4 linked regions of the Oryctolagus cuniculus genome follow. The protein of the gene in region 2 interacts with the protein of the main gene of each other region in a pairwise test. Links are inferred from orthologs where the notes say so. Each region holds a gene or a part of one and is shown on either strand. Other genes may lie near its edges.

Evidence for each region.
Region 1: the proteins of EP300 (region 2) and GRB2 interact in a two-hybrid assay, tested with the Homo sapiens proteins (2 studies listed by BioGRID and IntAct). The link is inferred for Oryctolagus cuniculus from reciprocal best matches to the Homo sapiens genes EP300 and GRB2.
Region 3: the proteins of EP300 (region 2) and PPARA interact in a two-hybrid assay, tested with the Homo sapiens proteins (3 studies listed by BioGRID). The link is inferred for Oryctolagus cuniculus from reciprocal best matches to the Homo sapiens genes EP300 and PPARA.
Region 4: the proteins of EP300 (region 2) and signal transducer and activator of transcription 5A interact in a two-hybrid assay, tested with the Homo sapiens proteins (2 studies listed by BioGRID and IntAct). The link is inferred for Oryctolagus cuniculus from reciprocal best matches to the Homo sapiens genes EP300 and STAT5A.

What each region holds. Positions count from the first base shown.
Region 1 is NC_091448.1:5,229,334-5,236,306, forward strand, and holds the end of GRB2 (growth factor receptor-bound protein 2), read left to right. Parts: intron 1-2,691; coding exon 2,692-2,860; intron 2,861-3,360; coding exon 3,361-3,546; 3' UTR 3,547-3,895; downstream 3,896-6,973. UniProt on the Homo sapiens protein: Non-enzymatic adapter protein that plays a pivotal role in precisely regulated signaling cascades from cell surface receptors to cellular responses, including signaling transduction and gene expression.
Region 2 is NC_091442.1:117,217,795-117,225,202, reverse strand, and holds part of EP300 (histone acetyltransferase p300), read right to left. Parts: intron 6,498-7,408; coding exon 6,380-6,497; intron 5,730-6,379; coding exon 5,558-5,729; intron 4,729-5,557; coding exon 4,651-4,728; intron 4,530-4,650; coding exon 4,420-4,529; intron 3,031-4,419; coding exon 2,893-3,030; intron 2,554-2,892; coding exon 2,119-2,553; intron 643-2,118; coding exon 463-642; intron 225-462; coding exon 80-224; intron 1-79. UniProt on the Homo sapiens protein: Functions as a histone acetyltransferase and regulates transcription via chromatin remodeling. Acetylates all four core histones in nucleosomes. Histone acetylation gives an epigenetic tag for transcriptional activation.
Region 3 is NC_091442.1:120,673,684-120,681,872, reverse strand, and holds the start of PPARA (peroxisome proliferator-activated receptor alpha), read right to left. Parts: upstream 5,227-8,189; 5' UTR 5,072-5,226; intron 5,064-5,071; exon of another isoform or gene 4,709-5,063; intron 4,065-4,708; 5' UTR 3,994-4,064; exon of another isoform or gene 3,960-3,993; intron 1-3,959. UniProt on the Homo sapiens protein: Ligand-activated transcription factor. Key regulator of lipid metabolism. Activated by the endogenous ligand 1-palmitoyl-2-oleoyl-sn-glycerol-3-phosphocholine (16:0/18:1-GPC). Activated by oleylethanolamide, a naturally occurring lipid that regulates satiety.
Region 4 is NC_091448.1:20,520,427-20,528,518, reverse strand, and holds the start of signal transducer and activator of transcription 5A, read left to right. Parts: upstream 1-3,694; 5' UTR 3,695-3,792; intron 3,793-4,524; 5' UTR 4,525-4,534; coding exon 4,535-4,662; intron 4,663-4,959; coding exon 4,960-5,116; intron 5,117-6,093; coding exon 6,094-6,183; intron 6,184-8,092. UniProt on the Homo sapiens protein: Carries out a dual function: signal transduction and activation of transcription. Mediates cellular responses to the cytokine KITLG/SCF and other growth factors. Mediates cellular responses to ERBB4.

The sequences.
Region 1 (6,973 bases), on a different chromosome or scaffold from region 2:
GTTTTCCATTTTATTTGAAAGACAGAGACCAAAAGAGATCCCCCCTTCTGGTTCACTCCCCAAATGCCTGCAACAGCTGGGGCTGGGCCAAGCTGAAGCCAGGATCCCAGACTCCATCCAGGTCTCACGTGGGTGACAGGGGCTCCTGTGAGTGAGCCGCCTCCGCTGCCTCCCAGGATCTGCGTGAGCAGGAGGCTGGAGTCGGAGCAGAGCTGGGGCTCAGACACTGATGTTTGTGCAGGCTTCTTAACCAAAGGCCTGTCCAGTAAGGACTCCTTGAAGGGCTTGATTGAACATCGCAAGTGAAGTTCTGCTGCAGAGCGTGGCCCGGGGAGGGGAGGGCGGTGGGGTCATCATCTGTGTGCATCTCGGTCCCTTGTGTTTTATGCTGACTGAGTATAAAGTAAACGTGCGACTAGGAATACAAGCAGTTGGTCATTGGCTGGTGGCCAGCACCTCCGGGCACTCAGTGTGGGACACTCCTGCCACAGACACCAAAACCCGCAGCACTCCCTTTTATCAAATTCTCTATTCATTGTCTGAGAAATAAAGTGTGAGACTGCCTGTGACAACAGAAAATGTGTCACCAAGGAGGCTCAAGAATCAACAGCCTCAGCAGTGTTTCTCTGGTTTTTAAGATGTTTTGAGTCAGTGATTCGAGCCCTTGTAGTTGGCAGAGTGCTCACCCGGGACCTTACGCACCTAAGAAACTGACCGCGTCCACCGCCAGCGAGTCCCCAGGGCCAGAGGTGCAGGACAGGCCCTTCTTCCAGAAGCCCTCTCACTAGCACTGCACCCCCCCACACACACCCCTCCCCCTCCTCTCTCCCCCGTGTGTGTGTGTGTTGTGTGTTGTGTGTGGGTGTGTGAGAAAGCAGTACAGCAGCCACCCCCATCCGCGGCTTCACGGTCCACAAGTGACTGTGGTCTAAAAATACTGATCGGGACATTCCAGGAACAAACAGTTCAGATTTTAAATGACTTTTATTTTTTTGTGGTTGTTGGTTGTTACAATTGTCTTGTGTATTGTTAGTTTACTATACCTAACTTACTAATTTAACTTTATCATAGAAGTGTGTGTGTGTGTGTGTGTGTGGTGTTTGCAAGAGAAAGCAGTATATATGCAGTTTGGTACTATCCACCGTCTCACGCATCCACTGGGGGTCTTAGAACCCCCCGCAGCACACACACACACACACACAAACCACACTATGGATAGTGGGGGAGGGAATGCCAGGGCCACTGGATTGTCTTCCCCCAACCCCACTTGGTATCCTGCACTCCGGCTTCCTTGAAGCCCAGTCCTGCCACCTGCTGGCTGTTTTTGGAAAGTGTTGGCTTCTTTAGGCTTTAATACTGAAGGAGGGCCTTTGACGTTAAAATTATCTATTTACTTATTTGAAAGAGTTGCAGAGAAAAAGAGAAATCGGCTGCAATGGCCAGCACTAAGCCAGGCTGAAACCGGGAGCTTCCTCCCAGTCTGCCACGTGGGTGGCAGGGACCCAAGCACTGGGGCCTTCGTCTGCTGCTTTTCCTACGCCATTAGCATCCAGACTTGACCGTCGCTCGTATGGAATGCCAGCATTGCAGGCGAGGGCTTTACCTGTTATGGCGCAATACCGACCCAAAGGAGGGCTTTGAGGAACACGTGCTCACTGAGTCCTTGGAGGATTCAGCAGGGAACGGGACAGCAGGTGTCACTGGCAGCTCTGTGTTGCTGGCCAGCATTAAGGGGAGTGGATTTTCTGGCGATGGAGGGTGTGGGGACTTTGGTGCCTGGGCCTCTTTTGCTGTCCCAGTACATCCTTTTTCCCCCCACGGCCTTTATCCCGTGAGTAGAACTCAAATCCCCAAGTGGGAAATGACTGGAGTATTTCTGGTACCTGGAGCTTTGTTGAGCGTATCTGCTTCCTCACCTTATTTTCTATCCCACCTTTGAGATTTTAATTATTTTTGCTTGAAGCGTAGTTAATTAAGGTATATTCCTTGTCTTAAGTGAGGCTGATGTAGTTGGTACAGTGCAGGGCACAGCATGGGTTGGGACATTCCTTTTTTTTTTAAAGGTAATTTACATGAAGGGCAGAGTTGCAGAGACAGAGGAGATAAAGACAGAGAGCGGTAGGGGCGGCGGCGGGTGGGGGGGGTCTTCCATGCTCTGGTTACCTCCCCACATGGCCGCAATGACGAGGACTAGGCGGGTCTGAAGCCAGGATCCTCTTCCAGGTCTCCCACACGGCGGCAGGGGCCCCAGATATCGGACCATCTTCTGCTGCTTTCCCAGTTGCATTAGCAGGGAGCTGGGTCAGAAATGGAGCATCTGGGGCTTGAACTGACACCCGCATGGGATGCTGGTGCCACGGGCAGCGCCTCTGCGCAGTGTGCTGCAGCGCCGGCCTCATTCTCCATCCCATAAATGCCTGTAGAATTAGACCGAGTGGGGCCTGGCCTGTCCCGTGAGGGCTCTTTGTGTTGTTGCGGGTGACCGTCAGTCACGGTGAGGGTCTCGGCACGCTCAGCGGCCGTCCCACCCTCTCCAGCCAGGCTCAGTGGCGTGTAGCCAACCGGCCCGCAGGCTGTGAGGAGCGTTGCCAGACAGTGGCTTTCTCTGGACCCCTCCTGTTTGGCAGAGGGCCTCATGGGCCAGGCCAGAGCCCTTTGACCCACGTGCTGTGTTCTCTGCCCCACCCCCAGGTTTGGAAATGACGTGCAGCACTTCAAGGTGCTCCGAGACGGAGCGGGGAAGTATTTCCTCTGGGTGGTGAAGTTCAACTCCTTGAATGAGCTGGTGGATTACCACAGGTCGACGTCTGTCTCCAGAAACCAGCAGATATTCCTGCGGGACATAGAGCAGGTGCCGCAGGTAAGGCTGGGGCAGAGTCGGGCTCACCTCCAGCGGTTAGGAGCAGGTGCCTTTCAGAGGGTCACTTCCAGCCCCCGTGCTCAGGACATCACCCTTAGCTCACACAGAGGCCTGCGGTTTGCAGTCAGGTGTGTGGCTCGCTCACCACCTGTCTGTCAGCTATTCTGTCCCGGGAAGAAAACTGTGAGGGGTGTCCTGTAGGGAGGGTTGGGGCCTGTGCTCGCACCTGTGCGCCTGTCCCTGGCGGCCCAGCTGAGTCCACCACCTTATGTTTTCAAGCTCATCCAGATGTTTTGACTGCAAACCCTCGAGGGTGTTGGCAGCGACAGGAGCTCAGAGGTGTTGGATCCTGGGCTGTGCAGGAGCCCAGACTCCCAGGGGTGCTGACTATGCTGCTGACACGCCCTGGGGAGTGCAGCCCCCGAGCGTGGGTGCCCAGCGCAGGAAGGACTCCAGGCTCGGGGTGTCACACGCGTGTTTTCCCTGCTCCTCTTTTGCAGCAGCCGACGTACGTCCAGGCCCTCTTTGACTTTGACCCCCAGGAGGACGGAGAGCTGGGGTTCCGCCGGGGAGATTTCATCCATGTCATGGATAACTCTGACCCCAACTGGTGGAAGGGGGCTTGCCACGGGCAGACCGGCATGTTCCCCCGCAATTACGTCACCCCCGTGAACCGGAATGTCTAAGAATCAAGGGGAGGTTATTTAAAGCCGTGAAAAGTTGAAAACACGAAAGAATGACAGCCCCGGGCTGCCTCTCCCAGCAGCCTTGCAGGAGCCCGGACACCTGGCTGGGTCACCTCACGCCCGTGACTCTCTGACCTGGGTTGGAACTTCGGGGGGTGGGAGGGGGCATTGGATATAAAAATGCCAAAACTTACCTATTAAGAAAAGAGTTTTTATTACAGATTTTCACCGCTGCTCCTTTGCCCCGCCTTTGTCCTTTTTCTCGTCCTTTTTCTCCCGTTCTTCAGTGCATGACGTGTAAGGCCACGTATAGTCCTAGCTGATGCCAATAATAAAAGAAAAGAAACCACGTGCGCTGGTATCTTCTCTATGCAAAATGTCTGTTTAGTTGGAACAACTACTGCTGTGTTCTCCGTGCGTGCACACAGAAAGGAGCAGGCGGGCAGCTTCTGCCGGGTCAGGGTGGCGTCCGCGGGCCCAGCCTGGGGCTGTTCTGTCGGGGGTGGGAGGGAGGCGTGTCACCTGCCCCTCGGCTTCCTGAGAAAGTCGGACTGAAAGCCTCCGTCGCTGGCTCCACGTGGGAGCGGCGTCCCTGAGCATTGCTGTTTCCCATGGTGCCTTTCCCCATGTCCCGGGTTGCTTAGGAGGGATGTGTCTTACTTGTTTTGTTTTCAGATAAATTAAAGACAGTCCAAATTGGCCTTCCAGCCGGTTCGTCTCCCACTCTCTGTAAATCCTTTTCCCTCAGGGGAGGGGAAAGCAGGGTAGAGGGAGGAGACAGCGGAAGGCGGGGAGGGGGGCGTTCTACCCGTACCAAGCCAGAAGGCCAGGGTCTGAGGGAGCCGCCGGCCCTGGTGTGCCGGGGAAGGGCCGGCTGCAGCTCTACGGCGTCTGGCTGGATCTGAGTCCTTGCCTTGTGGTCCGGGTATTGTCTACCCTGCCGACCCCAGAGACCCCCGCTCAGACCCCTGGAGCCAGCAAGTCTCAGACACAGGAGAGCCAGTGGAGGAAGTGCTGTTAGGCTGCTGTTCTTGAGCTGCGGCAGGTGGGACTGTGGGCCTGCGTTAGGTTGCAGAAGGAGAGTATTTGTGTTTTTCTTGCTCCTGACATTAGGTCATGGCTCTCACCTTTTGTGTCCCCTCACCTGTCCAGGTGAGCAGCAGGGCAGTGTGCAAAAGCTGGGACACACTGTTCCTTGTCCCGTTCGCAGCAGGCCGGCCCCCAGCACCATCCCCACCCGGGGGGGGGGGGGGGGGGCGCTGGGAAGACAGAGGCTGGAGCCCCTCTAAGCTCTCCGTGTCAGCTCTCCGTCCCTTGTCGTTTGGGCTCGTGGGCTTTTCCTCCCCAGGACACGGACGAGGCTGCTGCTTTCCCTCCCTGGGAGTGCTGGTGGCCTTGGGCCTCTGTGACCCTTCAGTGGCATCTCCCCAGACTGTGGTGTGGAAACAGACTCAGCCTGCGGGTCCCGGAGGCCTGGAGGCCGCTGCTCCTGTGGACAGAGCATGTTCACGCCTCTCCTGGCTCCCGTCCGACTGCTCCCGCCCTCCCTCCCGCGTTGCTGATCAAAGGAACACCTGGCGTCCACACCTGGACCGTCTGATTGTTTTATTTTGGAGTTGGTGTATATCATGAAGCCTTGCTGAACTAAGTTTTGTGTGTATATATTTAAAAACAAATCCGTGTTTAACTAAAAAGACCTATGTACGTAATCCTGTAACTCTGCGGGTGGCACTTGGTAGGTAGTGATTAACTGTGAATAATAAACGTACAATGAATTCTTCATTCTGCTTCTTTTTGCTCCCCCTTGCTTCATTTTATGTAAAAATTTGGAAACTGCGTAAGGTGTAAGGTCAGGCAGTCGGGGCCTCTCGGGAGTGATGCCAGCCCTGTCACTGTGGCGTGGTGGGTTGAGCCTCCACCTGCCACGCCGGCATCCCAACTGGGCTGCTCCAGTTCTATCCAGCTCCCTGCTGATGGCCCAGGAAGCAGTGGAAGATGGCCCAAGTGCTTGGGCCCCTGCACCCGTGTAGCAGACCCAGAAAAAGCTCCTGGCTCCTGGCTTCGGATTGGCCCATCTCCTGCCGTTGCAGCCATTTGGGGAGTGAACGCGCAGATGGAAGACCTCTCGCTGTCCTCTGTAACTCTGCCTTTTCAAGTAAATAAATCTTTAAAAAAAAGATTTTGGGAAAGCTAGTTAACAGTGCAGACTCAGGACAGTTTGGTTGAGGTGCAGGGAGGAGTCCTTGGTGCTGCTGGTGTGGACAAGCCGCAGGCCACCCTCAAGAAGCCGGCGTAGAGCGACAGAGAGCTCGGCTGTTGGTTCTGCACTTCCTCTCTGTTGAAGGAGAGGACGGACACCTGGGAGGAAGGGGCTCCCAGCAGCTCGGCCTGAGACGTGCCTCCCCGCAGGCTGCTCAGGGTGAGGCCTGTTGGACCACACGAAGCTCTGCCTACAGTAGACCAGACAGACATGAAAAAGAAATCCAAGGAATTTCTGCAAGTGTTCTCATCTAGTTTGGGTTTTTTGTTCGTTCTTGTTTTTTTGTTGTTGTTGTTTTGTTTTTAAGCTATTTGAGAGGCAAAGAGCTTCCATCTGCTTGTCCACTCCCCGAATGCCCCAACAGCCAGGGCTGGCCAGGCCAAGGGCAGCAAGCGGAAACTCCCTGGCGGGTCTCCCGTGGGAGGAACAGGAACTTGCCCTGGAGCCATCGTCTGCTTTCCGGGTTGTGCATCAGGAAGCTGGAGTGGCGGCTGAGCGGCTGCGACTGGAACCAGCACCTCCAAGGAGGAGTGGGGCTGCTCCTGCACCACCACGCCGCCCGCCTCTGGTTCCTGAGCGAACCTCAGGCGCCACCCAGATGGCTCCGCTGCTGGGCGCTAGAGCCACTGCCCCCCCTGCCCTACAGAAACGTCTGAGGAAGCTGCCAGCCCCTCGGCCCTCTGGGCTGCCGTGAAGCTGAGAGGAGGTCCCCCCATTAAGTGACAACACGGTGTTGTCACTGCGCTGTATCTTGAGACCTCTTGCTCGGTCTCTCCCTGTCGAGTGCGTTAGGTGAACAGGGAAATTGTCATTTGGTCGCAGAGTTCTTGGGGACTGGATGCCCTCCTCATGGATCCGTAATTCCTGGGAAGGAACCTGGAGTCTCCCACATCCCCCAGCATTCCCCTGGCTGCATGTTGAGCCTTGGAATAGCTCCGTGGGGGGGGGGGGGGGGGCAGGTGGCCTGGGGTCGCTCTTACTGAGCTCACTCTAGGGAGGCCCTGCTGGTCGCTGGCGCTCTGACTTGGCAAACTGGGAGCCTGCAGCAGGCTTATCTTCAGACACTCGTGGAGGAGCTGGCACGAGGGCTGCTCGTGTGGCCTTTTAGACAAAGGGCCTGGGCACAGATGGTCTGCTGCCTTTGCCACTCATTCCCCTCGACCTGCT
Region 2 (7,408 bases):
TCCAAGCTCACAGCCCTAATGGTAACGAAATCACACTAACTGCAACTTTCAGGACCCAAGAGGGGAGGGAGAGACTTACTCTTTTTCTTCGACTGGCCAGGAGCTGGAGATGACTGGGGGGCGGAAGTACTTGGCTGGTCGTCATCTTCTTTGATTTCGGTTTTTAACTCAGTGCCTCTCTCTTCTGTTTCTGGAGGCTCCACTTTACAGTCCTCAGCTTTGCTCTAAAAACGTGTGGCAGATATTTTTAGTATTCCAAAGGTATCCAATTGGGGAGCAGTAAGATCACTGTCATCACATCCTTTATTCGCCCCATGGACCTATCTTAACAACCTTTCTCACATGAAATCAATGCACCGAGACCTAATTATCAAAATGCTTTTCTCAAACACTGATTTTTAAAACTTAGGCTCCCCAGCTGGGGTCCTATGCAAACCCTGGGAGCAGCGGCCCTGTCCTCACCTCTGGGACATCCTCTGGTGGAACAGCTGCTGGTTCTGGCTGGTCCACCTCCATCTTAGCCTCCACCTTTACTTCCTGTGCAGGCTGCTTCTCAGGGACAGCCTGAGCGTTCACCTCTGCACTGCTCGTGCTGGGAGGGTTTGACGCTTGCCCTTCAATGCTCACAGTCGGCTGGGAAAGCTGGGCAGAAACAGGGAAACAGGACAGATTTGCCAACAACATATTCAGAATAAACCACATACTGGGGGACTAGTGTCATTTCTCTCTGTACACTGCACCTTCCTTAATTATACTTGAGGACTTTTCAATACTGGCCAGCCAGCTGAGACCGAAGCCGCCAGCGATGGTTTCGTTAGTCATCATCAATTCTGGGCAGTGTGTGAGCAGAGGAAATGTCACAGGTGCTTCTCTCCGAGAAGCTCCTATTTAAAGAGACATGGAAACTAAAAGAACATAAGAATGACAAGCTGTCTCGTTTGCTCTTCAATCTGTCCTTGCAGAAAAGCAGAGGACAAATATGCTGAACTCCTCTACAGAGTTGGTACTCTCAATCATTACACTGTGACAGGGTTACTGGCAATCCACATCTATTCCCTGCATCTTCCAGCAAGAAACTACATAGCAAGGCAGTGTTTTCTGGAGCAATCCCATAAATAACAAAATAACTGGGCTTCAGACTCCTCTCTGCAGGCTGCCATTCCTTGTGGATCAGAGGGGCCCACAGCTAGATGTGACTTGGTCTCTCTGTGAACAAACTAAAAGATCAGTTTCGGGGCCAGCACTGTGATTTAGAGTGAGTAAAGCTGCTGCTAGGATGCTGGCATCCCATAGGAGCACCAGTTCGAGACTCCCCTGCTCCCCTTCTGATCCACCTCCCTGCTAATGTGCCTGGACAAGCAGAATATGATCCACGTGCTTGGGCCCCTGCACCCACATGGGAGACCTGAAAGCAGCTCCTGGTTTCTGGCTTTGGCCTGGCTCAGCCCTGGCTGTTACAGCCATATGGAGAGAACCAGCAGATGGAAGATCTCTCTAACATTGCCTTTCAAATAAATAAAATAAATCTCAAAAAAATATATAGCATCAACGATCAAGGTAGAAAGAACATCCTAGCCTGTTAACAATACACAGGTTCAATTTTTAAGGATTCAACTACTAGACAGGAATTTAGATTTTTACTCTACACATAATCAGCCTCTCACAAGGAAGCTGTAGAGATTTAGGTCTGTATTTCTTGTCTCTTTACCATGACTTTGTTAACCTTTGTTAGGGCCAGAGATTCAATCTTTGAGTACTGAACCTTAAAACGTTAGAAAAGGGTTTTTAAATATATGTTAAATTCAGGAGGTACACTAACTGTCACACTAAGGAAGCAAGAGGGGCCTCTTACCTCTTGCTATGCTCTATGCTTTTAGGCCCCAGAATACTACATGGCATACAATAATGAAAGACCTAAACAAAATCTTTGAGTTCCTACTACGTTAAGTACTATCGAAGGCAGTAAGAGTAGGGGGGGCAATGTTCTTAATCAAACATTCCATTCCACTTATGGAGACAACAGTAAGAGATGAATCATGGAATCAAAAATGGCACAAAAGTAACACAATATTACATTAGCGCTGAAACCGTTCCACTGAAATGCAAACCTCCGCTTACCGGAGTGGCGGGCTGCGGAGGCAGCAGTGGCACCGTCGGGGTGGGGACCGAGGCTGCTGTACTCTGCTGAGAGCGGGGCTGCTGGGGCTGGTCGGCTGGAGGAGCAGCAGGGAGCGACGGCTGCACTTGGGGAGGCAGCTGTGTTGTGGGCGGAGTAGGTGTCTGTCTCGGAGGAGGGTGCAGAGCCTGGGGCTGTGGCCCGGCCGGCATGGCAGGAGGTGTAGGGACAGGGGCTGGGATCCCTGCTGCTGGTGGCTGCTGGGCCCCTATGCTTGGAGGAGTGTGGTGAGGGGTCGGGGTACGACTAGGTACAGGAGATGGTGAATTCTGATGCAGAGGGGGTTGTGCCAGAGGGGGACAGTGCATGTGGCTTCCTTGAGATCCTGGAGGCATTATAGGCGAGTTTACTGGGCAGGAAGAACCAGATATTTGTGCCTGTTAAAATGAAGTCATTAAGATGATAATTCAAACAGAATGAAGGAAAATTTACATAGGCAGATAGGCATTTAGGACACAAACTAATTAAATGTAAAATAACAACACAGGGTTAAAACCCTCAAATTTAAATTATGTGTTACTTTTTTAACAAAGCCATTGTTATACACATAATTATCTCTTCATATCCAGAATACCCTAAATCCAAAAGTGTTCATATTTTTAAACATCACCCACTATTTGCTGCCACTCTTCCGGGCAAAAACCTAACAGAAGATTCACAAATCCCCTCCCCCTCCCCCATCCCCATAAGGGCAAAGGTCCCCTTGTGAGACATACTTGAGACACTGGTACTTGACCGCTGGGTGGAGCCAAAGGCATATTTGCTACATTCATTCCCTGTGATGAGAACTGAGACTGTGGAAGAAACTGGCTCTGGCTGGTAGGCGGCTGCATGCGAGGCCCATAGCCCATAGGCTGCAAAAAAACACAAAGTACCAAACTGCTTCATTACGATTCTTCTATCACAATTGGAATCATCCATTAATTTGGCCCTGCTGTCAGGTTGACTGGGCAGAGAAAGAGAAGAAAGGAAAACAGGTAAAGGGAGGGGCAGGGAGAGAGAGGAGAAAAGTGGTGAAGAACTGACTTTTACGCCTAGACCATGGGGATGGTCTCATGTCATGGCTTCTCTAAGTTACAGGAGGATGGGGACACACAGCGCTCTATCTGGAACTAACAGGAAAAGAGCTAGCCATTTCTTTGAACACTCTAAGTTAAGTGAAGGACCAAAGCACAACATCCTGGGCTCTTTGCTCACTGTAAGTGGCATGGCAACAGTAAAAATTTTCAGATTCCATGTGTGGGAAAAGAAAAGTAAAACCCTTACAGGACGTGGCTGAATCTAGCACCATTCATGGCCCACAATTGCTCTTGGATTGTTTCCTTTAACAGATGATGGAAATCTGGATTACCAAAAGCAAAAATCTCAACCAGTTAAAGAAATGCATCTGCCTTATAGATTAACATGAGAACTAGGATTCCTTGCTGAATGTTGCCAGCTGTGAAAAGTATCAATGCTGCAAAACCCTAAAAAGGCTCAAGAAACAGAGGTGCCAGGTAACTAGCAGGACAGGGTGAGGGCTGGGCCAATGTCGGTTAAGAGTCCGGGTATGCTCAGCATCTCCACTTCAGTCTCTAGAACCAGGCAATGGCTCCCCCATTGCTCTTATCAAAGATCCACAGTTCACTGCCTGGAAGAGAAGGTAATTATTATGGAGGAGAGGTAAACTGAAAAAAAGTGGGGAGGCTACTGGACATGCGGACTCCAAAGAGAGGGTACTGGCTGCTTTTTGTCAACTTTCTAATGCTATGATTTTTACAACTATGAATAGTATTTGCTTGGATGTGAGCCTTTTTTAGTGTTTATTTTACACAGACTGACTTGTTTGTAATCAAGACACTCTACTCTTCTTCACATGAACTTCCATCACATTATATCCTCGCACACTGTAACACCCTTTCCTCAGACTGCATCACCAAGTCCCTTAGTAATTATTTCTGTGGGATTTCTAACTATTGTTAAGTGAAAGAGATAAGCAGAAGAGATTTCAGCATTTGTTTCCCATTAGTAATAATTATTCCTGTCACTCCACCTCTTTAACATAATGCAACTATTTAGTCTCATCTCTGAAATACATATAATCATCTATATTAAGGGCAAAATACAACAATTAAAATGTAACAACAAGCTCTTGTATTTTGTGTCTAGGCAAGTATGAGAAGTTTTGTTCTTGAAGCAAAAACAAGAATTTTTAGAAAACCCCTATAAAATCCAAACAGATTACATAAAGAAATCAAACCAACCGGGTTTAGAGCTCCAGGCTGAGCCAACTGTCCATGGTGCTGAAGTGGAGAGGTTTGCCGGGGTCCAATAGGGGGCTGGGGCATACTCATCTGGCCAAATTGATTCAAACCTATGAATACATGCAGAGTATAAAATCTCAGCACCCTTCTGGAGAATAAGAGGCACTATTCCTCTATCTGGTCACCATTTATCAAAACTAGTAACTCATTCTTCCCGGTTATAAAATTTACCAGATGGTGGTGTTATCCGAGGCATCATCTGGTTTGGCACACTGCCGCGGATCATAGTTGGGTCAGGGAGAGGACCATCTAGGGCAGAAAAGAGAAATAAATTAAGGAAGTCCCTGCATTGGCTGCCCTTTACTGGAAAACAAAATATGGGCAGGTGTTTTGTGTAGTAGTTTAGATGCCACTTGGGGAACCGGTGTTGCGGCGTAGTGAGTAAAGCCGCCACCTGTGACACTGACATCCCATATAGGCACTGGTTTGAGATCTGGCTGCTCCACTTCCAATTCAGCTCCCTGCTAATGCACCTGGGAGGGCAGTGGAAGAGGGCCCAAGTGCTTAGACCCCTGTACCTACATGACAGACCTAGACCGAATCTATGCATTTAAGGGAACAAACCAGCATTTACACTCACACCAATAGCACAGTCCATCCAGCGTGAAGTTTCTGCACAGTCTCCAACAACCATTTCATCCTTCAGCCTGAGGATGTGTCTGTTCGATTCTTTCCCTGTATTTCTCCTGTTTGATTCATGTTCTCTCTGCTCTGCCACTTTTCAAGTCATAGATTAAGGTGATCACTAAGGAAGTATGTGAGCCTCTGTTGCACACTGGACCCTAGTCAGCCTACATCCATCTACTGGCTGCTTTCTACACAGACGGTGTTAGAGACAACTAGGGAAAATCTACGTGCAACCCCTTCCTACGTGTCACTATCAGGCATGTCTACAGTGGGCTGTGTAAGTAGTGCTTACTCTTTAAGGCAGAGGATGACCTGTTTTCTTTGCAAAGACAAAAGGCCTTTCAAAAACCCTATTAACAGTTAACACAACTTTGTACAAATTGATGGATTTGGTTAGAAATCACTTCATTATCAATTTCTCCCCAACATAAATATAACAAAAAGCACTTACTAGAAGTCATTCCTGGTTGTGGCTGTCCCATGTTAGGCCCTGGATTCATAGAAACTGGCACCATGCCTGCATTTGGAAGCATGTTCTGTTTCTGTAATCTAGTCCTTCGTTTTTCTTCTAATTCTTTTTGTATCTTATAGATCTTCTCAGCTAGAAGGTGGTAGTATTCCGCCTTTTTGGATTTTTGAAATAACAGATAAGGACAAAACATGAATTACCACCAGAAAACAGAAAAACTAAATCAAAGGCAGATATTAGTTTCATTTAAACAATAGGTAGAAACTAAAAATGGGAAGAAATTAATCCATTTTCCAAATATGAGCTCATATTTATAGAATAATCAAGTGATCATCAGTTTTACTAGGAACCTACACATTAAAATGAGACCTCTTTCAAAGCAGGTTTTATAAAACATATGTTGTCAATTTACAGAACATGGAAAGAACATGTTACATTTTGAAGTAATGCCAATTTAGAAAAGAAAGTTAAAATGATGTACAGAAACTAAAATATTCTTTATGTACTATATTCGAGTGAAAACAGCACCGGGCTGGTAACAACAGCTCTGCTACTTTCTGATTTGACGGAAGGACAACCCAGATGAAGTGCCATAGAACTGCACTGAAGTAAGGGGAAAAACCCAAGGTTTTTGATAACAATCACCTAAGAAACTGCTAACTATACGCAGAGACAGTGAGAGAGGACAGCTGGAAAATGCTGCTTACATGTGCTAGGGATGAAGAGTAACCATGAGGGGTAATTAAGTATCTAAAGCAGACCCATTCCTGACCATCAACATGTAAAGAACAACCAGATGCTCACTCGATTATTTGCAGATTCGTACATGTCCCCTTCTACCTTCCGAGCATATGCCACCAGGTTTTCCATCCGTCTGTCCTTTAAAGCAGCAGGATCCGGAGTGGGAAATATGGCTTGAACTCTAGGAATGGAAAATGCAACCACTGTAATACAATGCCAGCTTCACATTCAATCATAGAAATGTATACTACTTTAAACGATTTCTCAATTAGTGTTTTCCCAATTCTACACACTGGATACAATGAGTACAAGAAAAGTAACAGAGGGTGACAAGTCAACACCAAAAATGAAAACTGTCTTCTTGTGATAAAGGATTTTCCTGATCACAATCTAAAAAGTAACTCCATGAAGATATTCTTTGGTCCCTGTTACTCTAGATGTATAGAAAAAATTATTCTGTGCTACATAAATTTATTCAACTTTTAAAAGTAACAACTAAGCCTCCAAAAATTTTCTTAAAGACTTATTTTACTTACTGGAAAACAGAACGACAAAAACAGAGGGAGAGACAGAAGTCTTCCATTCTCTGGTACACACACCAAAGGGCCACAAATAGGACTGTGCCAGGCTGAAGCCAGGCGCTCCATCCGGGTCTCCCACATAGGTGGCAGGGACCCAAGTACTTGAAGCGTCTCCGCTGCTTTCCAAGGCGCATTAGCAGGGAACTGAATAGGAAGCAGAGAAGCCAGCAGCTGGGACCTGAATCAGTATTCTGATTGGCGATGTCAGTGTTGCAGGTGGCAGCTTAACCCATTGCACCACAATGCTGCCACCCAAAATTGTAAAGAACAATAACTTGAAGCAAAGGGACTAGAAATGCCTCTCTGGCCATACCACCTTAAACGTATCCACTCTTCTGATCTCAGAAGCTAAGCAGGGTTGGGCCTGGTTAGTACTTAGAAGAAATCATGATTTTGCTAGATTCAAGGTTAACAGTCTAACAACTTCTATAATTTGCAACAATGACAAATGTGAGAGAAGGCATTTAGAATAGTGCAGATAACTCATGTCCACCACAGGCGTTATCAGGGT
Region 3 (8,189 bases), about 3.5 Mb from region 2:
AGATCAGTCTTCTGACCACATCCACTGGCTCATTCCTCAAAGGCCCACAACAGCTGGAGCTGGGCCAGGCCAAGGCCAGGAGCCAGGAACTCCGTCTGGGTCTCCCATGGAGGTGACAGGGACCCATGTGCTGGAGCCGTCACTGCCGCTTCCCAGGCGTGCGCGAGCAGAAAGCGGGACTGGAAGTGGAGGTGCGACTGGAAGCCAGCGGCTGTGATGGGGGTGCGGATGTCCAGCAGCCGCTTCCCTGCCAGCGGTGAAGAGGCCCGCACCGCCTGTCAGGACGCTCCGGGCAAGCCTCGCTCTGGCTCCTGATCCCAATGTCCTGCTATTCAAGCCCTGGGCAGCAGTGGTGCCTGCTCAGGCGATTGACTGGGTTCCTGCCACCTGACTGGAGACCTGGGCTGAGTTCCCAGCTCAGCCTGGGCCACTGTGGGCATCTGGGGAGTTATCAGTGGATGAACGCTCTCGCTGTCCCTCTGTCTCTGCCTCTTGAATAAATAGAATTAAAAAAAAAAAAAGAAACAACATTTTATTTCTCGCTCTCTCTCTCTCTTTTTTTTTTTTTTTTTTTTTTGACAGGCAGAGTGGACAGTGAGAGAGAGAGACAGAGAGAAAGGTCTTCCTTTTTGCCGTTGGTTCACCCTCCAATGGCCGCTGCGGCTGGCGCACCACACTGATCCGAAGCCAGGAGCCAGGTACTTATCCTGGTCTCCCATGGGGTGCAGGGCCCAAGCACCTGGGCCATCCTCCATTGCCTTCCTGGGTCACAGCAGAGAGCTGGCGTGGAAGAGGGGCAACCAGGACAGAATCCGGCGCCCCGACCGGGACTAGAACCCGGTGTGCCGGCGCTGCAAGGCGGAGGATTAGCCTACTGAGCTGCGGCGCCGGCCAACGACATTTTATTTCAACAGATCCTCAGGCCATCTCGTTGGAAGTCTATTTAATGCATAATATTTGCCAAACTTAGTTACCAATAAAATCGTTTCTACCGCAACCACCGCTTTCCCAACACCATTGCAATGGCGGCCCCAGTGGTGCCCAGTGGGGACACCTGCCCAGGCCTCAGAAGAACCGCTCTTGCCCCAAGGAAGCCACAGAAGCTGGAGGTGTGGGAGCCCTGTCGCTAAGGGACGGGGGTAAGCTGCCAGCTACAAAAGCAGGGCAAGTGGGGCAGAAGTGACCAAGACACACCCTCCCCCGGCGAGGCGGACCCAGGGTGGAAAGCCGGGCCCACGAGGAGCCCCAAGGCAGGGCAGCACTCAGCCATGGCTCCACGCGCAGGTCTGAGTGCAGGCAGATTCACCAAGCCCGGACTTCAGCAGACGCCCTGCGGAGGAGGGGCAGACGGTGGCATGGGGACACAGGCAAAATGTGCCACCACCAAATCCTCACGTTCAAAACCAACTGGAAGCACTCGGCACGGTTTGGGTGCGATTGGCGGGGGACTCGACAAGTTTTGGGTATGTCTGAGGGCAAGAGTGTGAAAGGTCACAGAATGGCCAGGGCGGAGGAACCGGGCGGGTGGACCTGGCTGGGCGAGGGAGGCAGGCGATGGAGCAGGTCTGCGTCCCCACGACACCTGCAGCGTGTGCAGGAACTCCATTTTCTGGGGGAGAAAATAACGGTTTGAGGAAGTGCACGGAGGCCTCCCGCCGGGCTGGAACAGCAAAGGGGCTAAAACCCAGAGCTCGCCACTCACGTCCTAACAATGCCTAGCCCCAAACTGCCTCCTCTTGCCCACACCAGACCTTTCTTTTTTTTTATTTTTTATTTTTTTGACTGGCAGAGTGGACAGTGAGAGAGAGAGACAGAGAGAAAGGTCTTCCTTTTTCCGTTGGTTCACCCTCCAGTGGCTGCTGTGGCCAGCGCACTGCGGCTGGTGCACCGCGCTGATCCAAAGCCAGGAGCCAGGTGCTTCCTCCTGGTCTCCCATGGGGTGCAGGGCCCAAGCACCTGGGCCATCCTCCACTGCACTCCCGGGCCACAGCAGAGAGCTGGACTGGAAGAGGGGCAACCGGGACAGAATCCGGCGCCCCGACCGGGACTAGAACCCAGTGTGCCGGCGCCGCAGGTGGAGGATTAGCCTAGTGAGCTGCGGTGCTGGCCCCCACACCAGACCTTTCAAAGACCTCATCCTATACCATCCAATCAAATGCAGCTCAACTACCAAGATCACCACACCAGGGCACCCCCGGCCAGCGCAAGGGCTGCACGAGCTCCTCTTCCAAGTCCCAGAACGTGGCCACACGTGGGGCAGAAGTAGAGGACACACTGCCAGCCTGGGGGACTGCCTGTTGGCCATGGAACAGACTGGATTATCCAGCGCACGGCGCAGCTCAGGGCAGGCCAACGACTCTGACACGTGGAGGAGACAAGTTCTTTCCGATCCGCCACCTCTGCTACTTAGTCCTCACTTCAAGCCTTCCTCTCACCAAACTGGAAAATCAGATTCTGAGCTGGGGTTTCCCCAGCCACGCGGCCTGCAAGGTGACCTCGCTCCCCTACGTAACTAATAAGGCTGAAGGGACAGATGCCATGCCTTGTGAAACACTGACTCCATCCCAAGCCACGGAAACCAGAAAGCGCAACAGAGACCCTCACATTCCAAGAGAGCAGCCTCAGGCCACTTGCACTAACTGCAGGGCCACACCCTTAGCATGCCGTGAAGCTAAGACCCCAGCCACCTGGAAGCGAAGCCACGCATCCCATTTGCCATGAAGAATTTCCCCACTCACACACAGTCTATGAAAGGCAAAAGAGAAAAATTGGCATGTTCAAACTTTGTTTTCAACAAAGAAACATTGTGATTAATGTGTTTTTAAAAGGATTATTATAAATCCATGTATATATATATGTATGTATACACACACACGTATACATATACATATATATAAAACACAGGCGCTTACGGGCAGCAGGCAAGAGAAAGGGCCCAGGTCACCAACCGCCAACCCAACGCACAAAGCAGCCCTGCCAAAATGTCCCCTCCCTGCCCACCTGCCCCTCACCCTGACCAAGGGTGACAATCTGTGAGCTTTTGTCTATACTCTAGTATGGAACCCAGTTTCACCAGAGGTCCGCGGGGGTCTCGTTCAACACTGGGCACAGTAGCCCACAGCAGCCACTCCGGAAGTAGCTATATGATGAGCCGATTTTAAAAGTCTGTGGAAAGCGGAATTAAAAGTTCACTTTACAAAAAGAAAAGTCTGAAATCTGTGCATATGAAAGGCTTTCCAAGAGTGCGTGGAAAATGCCCATTATGAGCAAACCACGCACACGTTTCACATCTTCTCAGTTTCGGCTTTCCACAAACTTTCTGAAGTAGCCTTGTCTCTACAGGGACCGGCTAAATAATTATTGTATCTAAATGTAATGGAGTATTAGACAAATGCAGGCGCATTTCATTCACCTGGAAGCTGCGTCCGGGGATGAAGCAGCCACAAAGTATTTGCCAAGAAACACAGTTTCTCCTTGTCTCTCACACCTTGTCTCTCACACGCACGCACGCAAGGGGCTGCTTTATGATGCTGGTGGACCTTGGTCAGGCGTGTCAGACTTGAGCAAACAGAAAACCTCCTCCTCCACCGTCAGTTCCCGTGCTTCTGCTCCCAGTCCTGGAGACCGCTGCGGGTGGGCAGCGACCACGCACACCCTCCCACACCGGGCCTGCGGCTCTGGAGCTGACCCCGACCCCCAGGTCACCTGCAGTCTCCCCACACGACAACAGCCCTTCCCCAGCGCCCGCTGAGTAGCACTGCTTCTCAGAGTCACCGCATCTCCCTATGAATCACAGGAAAGCAGCCAGCCAAACCCACATCAGAACTCCCCAACTCAGAACCCAGAAGCAAACCTATCCCGGGGTCTCCTGGGACACAGGGAAAAGACATGAAAGCTTTGCATCACAAAGAAACCATTAACCCCCAAACTTACTGCAGTGGAAACAGACCCTTCCATACCTCACCCTGGAGACTGAAATCAAACTCTGTTTACCTTCGGTGACACCGCCTTGCTTCTGAGCTTGTCACTTCTCCCAGAGGCAGGGCCCGGGACTCCAGCCCTGGCTGAGGAGGGACAGGACGAGACGGTTACAATGTGTTCCCTGGATGCCCCCCAGCCTCCGGCCCTTGCAAGGGGAAAGTCACGGTGACCCTGCCTTCGCCCAGGGTCGTTCTCAGTGAAGCCCCGTGCTCCTCCTCCCTACCAGCCAGCAGCCCTGCGAGCGGGGGCGGGGCGGGGGGCGCCCTGATTCCCTTGGGAATGGGGGTGGCAGGGGTCGCGGTGCCTGTGCAGACCCAGCCGGCCGAGAGCGCTCCACCTACTGCCCAGTCCTGGAGTTTTCTTAGAAAGAACCCTGACATTTGGGGCACATCTCTTCAACTTTTTTTTAAACAGGGGTTTGGGTAACGTGGGGGCGTGCCATGGTCCCCCCACCAACCAGGGTGGGCGCTGGGTAGAGCCGACCCCCCCTTCCCAACCTTGCACCCGCTCCAGCGGGCCAGGCCGGACCGGTCCCGAGGAGCCGCGGGAGGCCGGGGACAGGAAAGACACCTCGCAGCCCAGCGGAACCTGCCGGGGAACCCGCGGCTGCCCACGGCGCCCGGCGCACAGGGGCCCAGGCGCGCGACAGCAACCGCGCGCGCGTGTCCCCGTCGGGCTGCAGGACGGCGCGCACCGGCGCCGAGAGTCTGTCCGGGACACGAGTTACCTAGCCTCGGGGGTCCCTGGGGGTCTCGAAAACGCCCCCAGCTCTGTGACACTCGAACTCCACAGCGCACCGACGTCCCCGCCGCGGGCCTGGCCTCCCAGGGGACACCGAAGGACCCAGCGTCAGGAGGTCTCCGGCTCCGCCGACAGCCTCGGGCGCTTGGAGGGGCACCGAGCGAGAGCGGCCCCTGGTCCCGGGACCCTACTCGGGTCCCCGGCGAGTGCCCTCGCCCCGCGCCCCCGGGCCATGCGCATGCGCCGCCCGGCCCCTCCCGTCCGCGTCCGCCGCCCTCTCGGCCCGGGGCAGCAGAGGCCCGGCCCGGCCCGCGCCGCGGACCCCGCTCGCGCCGCCCACCCCCGGCACCTGGGCCCGCGGTCCGCCGCCTGCTGGTCCGCGGGGCGAGCGCCGAGGGAGGCGGCGCCAGGCCGGGCGCTAGCGGCCGCCTCCGCCCCGCCGCCCCTTGCCCGCGCCGTGGGGCCGCCGCGTCCCGGCCCTGCCCGGCGCCGCCTCCGCCCGCCCGTGCCAGCCGCGCCCCGCCCGCGCCACGCGCCGCCCCTCGGCGCGCCCCGCCCGGTCCGGCCGCGCGGGACCGACCCGGAAGCCCCGCCCCGGGCCCCGGCCGCGGCCCCGCGCGGGACGCACCCACCGGACGGCGGCGCCCGATTGGCCGCCGGCGGGGGCGGGGCCGGGACAGCCCTCGCGACTCCCACTGCGCGCCCCGCAGCCGCGGAGCTGGGGGAAACTGAGGCCCGGGAGGCAAAGGGACTGCCCAAGGTCGCCCCGCGGATGGCTGGCGTGGGGGGCGGGGAAGGGGAGGCGAGGGTCCCGCCGGGCGCCCGTGCCGCGCTGGCGAGGCCCTGAGCGCTCGCGGAACTCGGCTCCGCACGGCGCGACGAGGGGGTCTTGGCCAGGGCCCGGGGACCGGTGCCTAGGGTCTCGGGAGTCCGTGGGGTGCGGGGCGGGAGGACGGGGAAGGGCGTTCCGAGAGCCCCAGGACGCGTCAGCAGGTGGCGGAGGTGCCAGGCCGTGGGCACGAGTGTGAAGGGCAACGGGGACAGGGCGGGGAGGCGCCGCCAGCTCCGACCCCCGCCCCGGCTGCCGGTTCCCTGGGGGTGAGAGAGGACTTTGTGCCCAGCGAGGCGCGCGGGCCCTGCCAGCGCACTGGGAGGTCGCGGCCCCGCAGCCAGTGGCGAGGCTGAGGGGACAGCGCGCAGAGCCGCTCCGGGTGCGCAGCGCCCGGCGCCCCTTGCCGCGGGAACGAAACTTGTGCAATGTCCGCCCAGCGCCGCGGCGGCGGGCTCCCGGGGTGACCTCGTAAGTGAGCGGGCGCGGCTTCCACCCAGGTCACCGCGCCGCGCAGGGGCTGCAGACCCTGGCCTTGGGGCCATTTCGCAAGCTTCTTGGAAAGTCACTCCTGTCGGTTAGCTGGGACTGCTGTGAACTCTGCCCCACCCCCTGGACACCCACGCTCGATCGGGCCTGCCCAACTCTACCTGCGCACGCCGGCCAGCAAATGCCAGTCTGTGCGCCTTCCAGAGCCGGGCTGAACACAGACCCTGGTAGCTCCCCGGTGGACCCAAGCTGTGTTGGTTACCCAGCAGCAGGTGGGCTTCCTGCCCTCGGTGGGCCACATCCTGGCCGCGTGGGTGTTTCCTGGCTCACCCCAGGGCGCAGAGTCTCAAGACAGGGGTGTGTGTGTGTGTGTGTGTGTGTCCTGGTGGTCGCCCTGCACCCAGTGCCACCAAGTGGTGGGAGAGACCTGGCAAGAATTATGGATGCCTGCAAAGGACATACGGGCTTCAATCTCCCAGGTGCGCACTCCACAGATGTAGAAAGTGATATTCTTGGGTTCTCGGGGTTCCCAAAGCTTTAGGAGAGAAAACTTGTTTGTGAACCATGCGTTGGGAGATGTCACTTCTCTTATTAAGATTTATTTTATTTATTTGAAAGAGTTGCAGAGAGCTCAAGATAGATATCTTCCATCCACTGGTTGACTCCCTAAATGGCCGCAACATCAGAGGCTGGGCCGAAGCCAGGAGTCGGGGGCTTTCTCCGGGTCTCCCACATGGGTGCAGGAGCCCAAGCAGTTGGGCCATCTTCACTGCCTTCCCAGGCGCATTAGCAGGGAGCTGGATTGGAAGTGGAGCAACCAGGATTCGAACCGGCGCCCATATGGGATGCCAGCACTTTGGTGGTAGATATGCCACTTTTGAACCAAGGCTCTCGGCCAACCTCCGCCGGCGTCCTGAAGGTAGAGGGAAGCTGGGGACTTTTCTCGTGGAGTGTCCCGGCCAGACAAAGCTCTGGCCCTGCTTCCTGCGGGGGTCACTTCCGGGATGCCCCCACCCCCTTCAGAATCAGCCTTTTGTGTGCAGCCAGGAGCTTGTCACTTGTCACACCCCCAGCATGGGGGTGACCTGTCACACAGGGCAGCGCTGCGGCCCGAGCCCCTGGAGTCGGCCCGTCCCTCTGTCTTTGCCTCCACCAGCGTTGACCGGACGTGGACAGCACATAACGCCGCCCGCGTGGGGACTGAGTACAAATCTACAGCATCGGGGGCAACCAGTGCTTTGGAGAATGTCTCTGGGCACCGCCCAGGCTCCTCTCTGGAGGGCTCGGGGTGCGTGACTCCGACTTCATGGCTTCCATGCCGTCTCGGGTCCCTTGCCACGTCTCCCACTCTGAAGATGTCCCCAGAGGTGGGTTTTAACCTGCTCACGTTACAGTAAGGAGACTGTCGAGAGAGAGGCCCCAGCTGACCGGTCCTGTGGGCCAGCTTCAGGCCCCGGGACAGAAGGCAGGTCTGAGAGGCCCTCAGCTGCCCTGCTGAGACGCTCCTGCACCCCAGAGCTGCCCACCCAGCCAGAGCAGCTGTGGGCTCCGGGAGAGAAGCAGGAAGTTGGGCCATGCAGACGAGGAGCGGGGAGCTGCAGTGATGGGGCCTGCTGCTCCGTACCAGCAGCAGGTGGAGTGAGGCGTCCGAGTTCAGAGAGAGCGCGAGGGCTCCATCTGCTCGAGTGAAGTGTGCCCCGCGGGCCAGGGGTCCTGGCTGCCGGCTGATTACCCTGTCACTTAGGTAAGCACTTTTCCAGGAACTGCCCCGGGCCTCCGAGGGTCACTGGATTGCCCTTTGCTGATCTGCAGAGCCTCCTGTCCAGTTGGAGTTTGTGCAGCCAGTGTCATGGGTCGGGGCAGTGGCCTCTGGTCACTTGGAAGTGTGCCCTCAGGTCGGGGTGGGGGGTCTCCTAACAGTGACCAGTAGGTGCTTGGTGGCTGGGCCTGGACTCAGCCGCCGGCCTAGTACTGATGGAAACCTCCCGGGGCCAGGTGGCCAGTGATCATCCCGTTAAGGCTTGGACCTCAGCTGGGTTTGCCTCCGTCTTGCAGGAGAGGAAACCAGTGTCCAGGATGGACAACACCTCACAAGGGGACAGAGAACTCCGTCTACAGTGCCTGCCCCTGGGGCGCCTGTGCATGGCTC
Region 4 (8,092 bases), on a different chromosome or scaffold from region 2:
GGGAGTGGGCTCAGCCAGGGTCCCCCAGACCCACATCCCACTCCTCGCCAGGCTCACACACCATCTCTGCAGGCTGTGTCTTCCTGGCCAAGGATGGGGGCAGCACCCCTGCAGGGGTACGCTAGGGCGAGGGGACCATAGCAGTGGTAGGGTAGACACTGAGCATGGGCAGGGGCCCACTTCTAGGGGTGGGGGCTGGTGTGGAGGGGGGAGATCTGAACGGAGGCCAGTGGGGGCCAAGCAGGATGTTTAAGGGCCCCAGGGCTCCAGCTCTCCCTTGCCCACGCCAGGGCACAGAGCTACTTCCTGTAATACCCCCAGCTTTCTAGGCAGGCGCTACCTGGCTCCCACCTCCCCTCTGGCTCTCACGCCACAGGAACTCTCCTTGAAGAAGGCACTTGGAGCACAAGAAACAAAGGCATCTCTGTACCCCTCCCCCACCTCCTGGGCTGGTCAGGTCAAGGTGACCTCAGGCTGCTCTCCCAAGCCTACAGGCATTGGCAGGACCTTCTTGGCTAACCTGGTCTCCACGGGCAAGGGAGAAAGGGGACATGGGATCATTCTTCCCTTCCTCCACCAGGTGGAACACACCTTCCCGTCACACATAGGCCATACTGCCTCCATCAACAGGGCAGGGCACGGGCTGTTGTGGGGAGCAGGGGTGCCACGCTCCGTACTGGGGAGCAATTGTGGGCCCGCCCAGCTGAGGGAGACCTCTTCACTCTGCAGGAGTGTTCTGGGGATAAGTCTGGAAAGGCTGCATTAAGACTGTGGGGCTGGGCAACTGGGCTCCCAGCGGCAGCTGTGTACTTACTGGACAGAAGCTTGGGCAGGCCTCCTTCCTTGACTAACCAAAGGTGACAAGCCCGGCCCTACCTGCCTCCGAGGCAAGCATCGGTGGAGTTGGACAGCACAACCCTGTTCGTACACGAATGCGCCATGATCTGGCTCAGGATGCTGACCTAACCACAGCCTGTGCTGTGGACTGCACTCTGTAAAATATGGTCGTTCTTATTAGGGAATGCACAGAGGGCTGCAACGGCCAGCGCTGCGCCCATCCAAAGCCAGGAGCCTCTTCTAGGTCTCCCACACAGGTGCAGGTACCCAAGGACCTGGGCCATCCTCCACTGTTCTCCCAGGCCATAGCAGAGAGTTGGCTAGGAAGTGGGGCAGCTGGGACTAGAACCGGAGCCCATGCCACAGCACTGGCCCCTCATGTGAGGTTTTAAAAGAACTCTTCCCCCTCCCCACCTAATGATGCAACTCGGAATTAGGGGTGAAGGGCAAGGAAGCCAGCAGAGGACCCCGGCTCAGTCCAGACCATAGACAGCTTCTGGTCTCCCAGAACCCTCTCCCCTAGGCCTCAGTTTTCTCTCTTCTATAGCCTGGTCCCCTAAAACCACTAGGTGCTTTGTGGTGGGAAATAGCAGAGACCAAACCAGGGGACTGAAAGCAAAAAGAAACCCCAAATTTGACATTTCCGGGTACTTGTGTTATCCAGAGCCCCGACCACAGTCACCTCTGCCCCCAACCCAACTCTGACACCCTTCACACCTCCACTCATGGGGCAGCTTCTGCCTATCCTGGGAAAAATCCAGAGCTCCTTCCCTCCCCGCTGCACCTCAAAGGGAGGACAGAAAACCAGAGAGCAACAGAGCAACGGGTGGGGGGCAGCAGTCAACGAGTGATAAGGGGCTGTGGGGCCCAACAGACCTAATGAGGAGCGAGGGGAGAGGCCGGCTGGGCACTGCATGCAAGCAGAGGCTGGGGGCACCCCAGGGCTCTGCAGACACGGATTCATGCCCTTTTAGGGCAACCCCTCCAGTTCTGTTTGCTGGCACCTCAATGCTAGCTTTTCGGGACCTGGGCCTCCCACACCCTAGCCAAGCCCAACCCAGCCAGATGTTTGGTAGGTGGGGCTGCCAGCTGGAGCAGCAGGCCCTTGCAGGCCCTGCGGGAGGAGTCGGGAGGGGCGGCTGCCTGGAAGGGCCCAGGCGGGGTTCCCACAATCCCCCTTCCTAGGTGCCCAGATGTGAGTGCTCCGGCCCCAGCTCAGAGGACTTGGAAACCCAAGGACTCTGTTCCCATCCACTTGCAGGGCAAGGCTGGAGGGCACAGGTGCCAGTGGGTTTGAATCTGCCCTTGACAGGCTGCGTGCTACTGGTCAAGTTCACTTTCCCTCTGTGGCCTTTGTTCCTTTGTTTCCCCTTTGTACAATCATCTTCGTGGTCACTTCTAGCTCTACCCCCTGACTCTCATCGCAGGTAAGGACCTTCCCCTGCAAAATCCACTGTGCAGAGCAGGAGGGGAGGAGTGGACTCCTGCGCCCTAGTCCCCAGGGCCCCCCTGTGGAACAACTGGGAAGCAAGGTTTCCCTTAATCCTTCAGGCACCCGCTCAGTTTTCAATTCCTTTCCTTGTGATTCTGCCAACGAAGACGCTTTGACCACACGTGGAAGACGGGGAGAGCCCAGACATTCTAACTTCTGCAGAAAAACTTCACATTTTCTCTGAACTGAAAAGAATGAAACTGGGGGAGGTAGTGGGGTGCAGGAAGGGGGAGTGGAAGCAGGGGATGGAGAGGAAAGGGCAGATCCAAGAGGGATGGGGAGGGCGGAGGCAGATGGGAACTGCCCCAGGCCACCAGATCATGGCCCTGCTGAGCTAAGAGTGGGCAGCCAGGCTGGCCCCTCCTTGAGTGCTGCCAGTACCAGCTGCCAGGCTGAGGGGAGGCCCCAGGGAGAGCGAAACCGGGCAAAGGGGCTGGAAGGCGTCCAGGCCGGCCTTACCCAACCCCTGGGGCCTTGTGTGTGGGGACGCTCGGGGAGGGGCACTGTGAATCCCGCCATGGCTCTAAGGAGGATGTCTCAGCTGTGGCAAGGCCCACAGGCAGCTGTAAGGCTCCAAGGATTTAAAACAGGCCCTCCCCAGATCTCTCTGGAGGTAGGGCCAGCCTCAGATGTGATCCAGTTGGGGTGAATGCCGGGCCCGGTGGGTCCATGGGTCACGGTGGGCTGACTGGCAAACCCCTCCCCTGCTCCCCCCAACCCCCCAGAATTGCATTCACCTGCAGAACTGAAGCAAACCCACTGCCAAGGTTCTTTCCTGGCCAGCCTTGTGGTGGGAGTAGTGGGAGGGAGCGCAGCGGTGAGCTTGGCTTCTCTGGAATCCCCCCTACACAGTCCTTTCCCTCCCTAGGACTTCACGTCTGAGATCACAAAAGCTGTGGCAACCCACATCATCTCTCAGTCTCTCTCTCTCTCAGCCTCTCCACCTCCCATAGGCTCAAAAGATGGCACACGCCAGAGTGGGGAGGCATCTCCAGCTCGCCCGTCCTTCCCTCCTCCCCTTTCACAGATGAGAAAACCGAGGCCTTGGTCTGGGATTTCCAGAGCTTGGGATTTCCCGGCCCTGAGCCTGTCGCCGGCTACAGTCCCGGGACACTCCCGCGAGTCGCAGGCACACGCTGTCTGGGACTCCCTGGGGGTCCCGCCGTCGGGGCAGCCCCCACGTCCGGCGCCACCCCGCCGCGCCGCTGCTGCGCACTCGCCGGGAGCCGGCGGCCGAGGGCGGAGGCTGGGAGGCCGCGCCAGCGGCGGGGAGGGTGTTGGCGAGCGCCCGCGCGCTGTGTTTGGTCTATCGCAGGCAGCTGACCTTTGAGGAGGAAATCGCTGCTCTCGGCTCCTTCCTGTAGTAACAGCCGCCGCCGCCGCCGCCGCCGGGAGCCCGGGCCGCGAGCGAGAGCCGCGGGGCGCACAGCCGGCCCCGCCGCCTCACAGCTCGGCCCCACCAGGTGGGTGCCGCGCGGCGGGGCCCGGGCGCCTCGGAGCCCGACGGCCGCGGGCGGGACGGGGACCGGCCCCCGGCGCCGAAAGCCAGTTTGGGCGCAATGCGTGGTGCTCACGGGGGTCGGGGGTCGAGGGACGAGGGACAAGGAGGAAGGGAGGCGGCCGTCGTCCTCACGCTCGGGGGAGGGGGCGCCGTCGGGCGCGACCAGGGTGATGGCAGAGCGCGGCTGCGGGGCGCCCCGGGAGGGGAGCCTGTGTCGTTCCAGCTCTTTCTGCTCAAGTCCAGCCATGTGCCCCAGGGCGCCAACCGTAGGGTGGCAGCCCAAGCTGCCTCGCCTTGACTTTGGCTTGAAACATCCCCTGCTCCCTGAAATGGGGTGTCTGGGTGCGCGGCTGGTGGGGGGTATTCGTGCAGACCCTGCAGAGGGCGGTGGGCCTCGGCCGTCAAGTTTCTCTTTCAGTTTCCCATGGGGCTAGGGGAGAGGAAGAGGAAGGGCACTTGCCTCTCTCGGGGACCCCCCTCCTCCCGCCCCCAGCCTCATTGGGTTCCTTGTTGGAGAGGAGGGGCAGCCCTCTCCTCCCCACCATCTCTCTTTCCGCACAGGAAAGCCTGCTAGTGGGAGGAGCGGGGCCTGGCCCCGACTGCAGCCCAGGGACAGGTGGGCACGGTAGGGCCAGGGGCAGGCCCGGCCGGCCTCTGTGGAGGAGAAGGCTCTTGAGTGGTCTCCTGGTTCTAGGCGAGCGGCCATGGCGGGCTGGATTCAGGCCCAGCAGCTGCAGGGAGACGCGCTGCGCCAGATGCAGGTGCTCTATGGCCAGCACTTCCCCATCGAGGTCCGGCACTACCTGGCACAGTGGATCGAGAGCCAGCCGTGGTAGGTGCCCCTTGCCCGGGCCTCCCCCTGCGGGGTCCTAACCCCCTGGCTTGGAGATCTCCTCCGTGTGCTTCGGTGCCACGCTGGTCCTCCCTGCCCTCCTCTGTGTGGAAGGGGCGGTGTCCCTGGGAAAGGGGAACAGGGAAACGGGCGTCTGGAGGGGACAGAGGCTGCGTGCAGCCTCCTGTGCCTGTGGAGGTGCGGGCAGCAAGTCTCGTGGGCTCGCGTCACGTGGTGCCTGAGCTCCTGGCTCGAGGAGTTGCCACAGTGGATTTCTGTCCCCCGCCCTGCCCCAAGGGATGCCATCGACCTGGACAGCCCCCAGGACCGAGCCCAGGCCGCCCAGCTCCTGGAGGGCCTGGTGCAAGAGCTGCAGAAGAAGGCGGAGCATCAGGTGGGGGAAGATGGGTTTTTACTGAAGATCAAGCTGGGCCACTACGCCACCCAGCTCCAGGTGGGTGTGAACGCTGGGCCACCTACAGGGAGGAAGCAGAACCCCCCGGGGTTTTTTTCCTGGTCTGGCCACTGACTCACCGCATGACCATGAGCTCCTGGGCAACTTTTCTTCAATTTCCCCCACCCCCTCTTTCTAAGTCAGACCTGCCGGATTCCTTTAACCTTCCAGAAAGTACTGGATGAGGTGGGGGTGGGGGTTTTTGTTCCCGACAGAGGGAGGTGGGCGAGCCAGCATGGTGGACGGATTAAAGCAGGTGGCATGGAGGTAGACTGAGGCAGGATTCTTTTCTTGGAGGAAGGAAGGTTGGGGCACTCTAGAGATGAGTGGCTGCGTGCCCGTTGGGACTCTGCTGAAGCTGGAGTGGGGAGGAGGAGGATGGAAGAGCTGTGTGAAGTGGGGTTTCTCCTTTCCGTGGGGTGGCATGGCGGGGCGGGGGTACAGAGGAAGCGCGGAGTTTGTATGAAGCAGGAAAGGGGTGTGGGTGGTGATCACGGTCAAGCCCTTCTCAACCACAGGCAGCGGGGACCGGGCACCAAAAAGTCCTTCTCCAAGAGGGAGGAGTCGGGAGAAACCCGAGGGGAAGCAAAATAGGAACCGAGGGGCAGGAGTATGGCGGCAAGGCCCTCGGCCTCGTATCGGATGTGTGAGGCTCGAGTCACCTGCCCCTGAACTCGTTCGCCTCTGGACAAGCACGTGACCTCTCTGGGCATCCGTGTTCCCCTGGGCGACGCAGGGATAAGGGGTTTCCACGCTGGGAGAGTGGAAGTGCTGTGTGGACGGCGGGCGTTGAGTTCACTGCAGACCCAGTGTGAAGATGGGGGAGGGGCCCTGAGTAACAGAGACAGAGACATCTGATGATGGTTTCTGAGGCTTCCTGGGAGAAGCCCAGGCAGGGGCTGAAGCAGAGGAAGGGTGAGCCTGGCCCGGGGCCGGTATGGCTGGAACTGAGGGCAGATGCTCTTGGATTCTCCCAGAACACGTACGACCGCTGCCCCATGGAGCTGGTCCGCTGCATCCGGCACATTCTGTACAACGAACAGAGGCTGGTCCGGGAAGCCAACAATGTGAGTGTCGCCTGGGGGTGGGGGAGGAGCTGGGGGGTCTTCCCTGTGACTTTCTCCCCAGACCCAACTGTGTTGATATCAAACAGTGGCATAGGACAGCACCGAAGAAATAAGAGGCGCGGGCAAGCACGAGAGGTGGTATTGCATGCCGGTGTGGGGTGGCCACATGGCTCTGCCACTTACCAGCTTACCAGCTGTGTGACTTGAGCAAGTTGCTGTACCTCTCTGAGCCTCCCATTTTTCTATTGTAAAACCGGGGTAATAAAAGTACCTGCTCTATAGGGCTAGTGTGAGGGTTAAGTTAGATACTATGTAGGCCAAGGATAAACACTCCCCCATCCTCCTACACACAATCACCCCCCCCACACACGTATACACACACAAATACATACACCACATACACATATACACCCCCACACATGTATATATCCCCCATGCACATGTATACACACACGAATACATCCCCCATACGCATTACATATATACACCCACGCACATACATACACCCCCACACACAAATACATCCTCCCCATACACACCTCCACCTCCACACATTTATGCACATCCCACACACATACACACACATACATTGTCGCTCCCCCTCTTCGTGGAGGAGCAACACTGAACCCTGCCTAGGCTTCATATCCGAGTCACGGCACCATTATGTCGCTCCCCCTCTTCATGGAGGAGCGACACTGAACCCTGCCTAGGCTTCATATCCGAGTCACGGCACCATTATGTCGCTCCCCCTCTTCGTGGAGGAACGACACAGGACCCTGCGCTGTTCTTTCGTCTGCTCGGCCCTCCCCGGGTTTGCTGCTGGTTCTTCCCGGGTTGGCTACTATCCCTTCCACCTCCGTGGAAGGGCAGTTCCCCCTGGCCACATTCCCCACTTCCGCAGGGGAGCGGCACACCGCCGGCCGGCTCTCTGGGGGCTGCACAGGTGTTCCCCTTAGATGTTCCAGGTGCATGCCGTCTCTCTCCTCCTTTATAGTCCTCCTCCGCCAATCCTAACTCGGCTGCCCACACGCCGAGTACGCTGCTCTCCAATCAGGAGCAAGTCCTACAGTTTATTGGTTGAACTGAAGGCAGCTGGGTAGAAGCTGTTTTCTCCTCTCCCAGCGCCATATTGTAGGAGAGCAGATGCATAGAATAAGTCTTAATTCCAGTAACAGTCTAGTCCGAGCTGCTCCCCACAGAGGAGAGCAGATGCATAGAATAAGTCTTAATTCCAGTAACTTAGTCTAGTCCGAGCTGCTCCCCACAATACATCCCCCACGCAACACACCCCACACACATATACACACATGAATACATCCCCCCACATATAGCCCCCACACGTGTGTACACCCCCACACATGTGTACACAGAAGCTTACACAGTCTCACACTCTTCACATACACGCACACACATACTCACTGAAACCCCATCTGTGTCCGAGGTGCCGTCACAAATCACCAGGGAAAAGGGTTTGGCGTTCACTGAGTGGCTCTGGGTCCTAAATGGGGACTGCAGGCTGGCCGTGTCTGGGAGGACAGCCTGGGTGGCACAGGGGGCAGGCCTGAGGGCGGGGCAGTGCTCATCGCACACTCTGAGAGCAGAGTGTACAGAGGCTTTTTTTTGTTTGTTTGTTTGTTTTAAGATTGATTTATTTGAAAGGCAGAGCCATGGGAAAAGGGTGAGAAAGAGAGCGCTTCCATCCACTGGTTTGCTCCCCAAATGGCTGCAATGGCCAACACCGGGCCAGGCCGAAGCCGGGAGCCAGGAGTTCCACCTGGATCTCCCAACACGGGTGCAGGGCCCCAAGCACCGGGACCATCTTCTGTTACTTTCCCAGGCGCATTAGCAGCGAACTGAGTCGGGAGCGAAGCAGCCAGGACTGGAACCGGCACTCTGATTTGGGATGCAG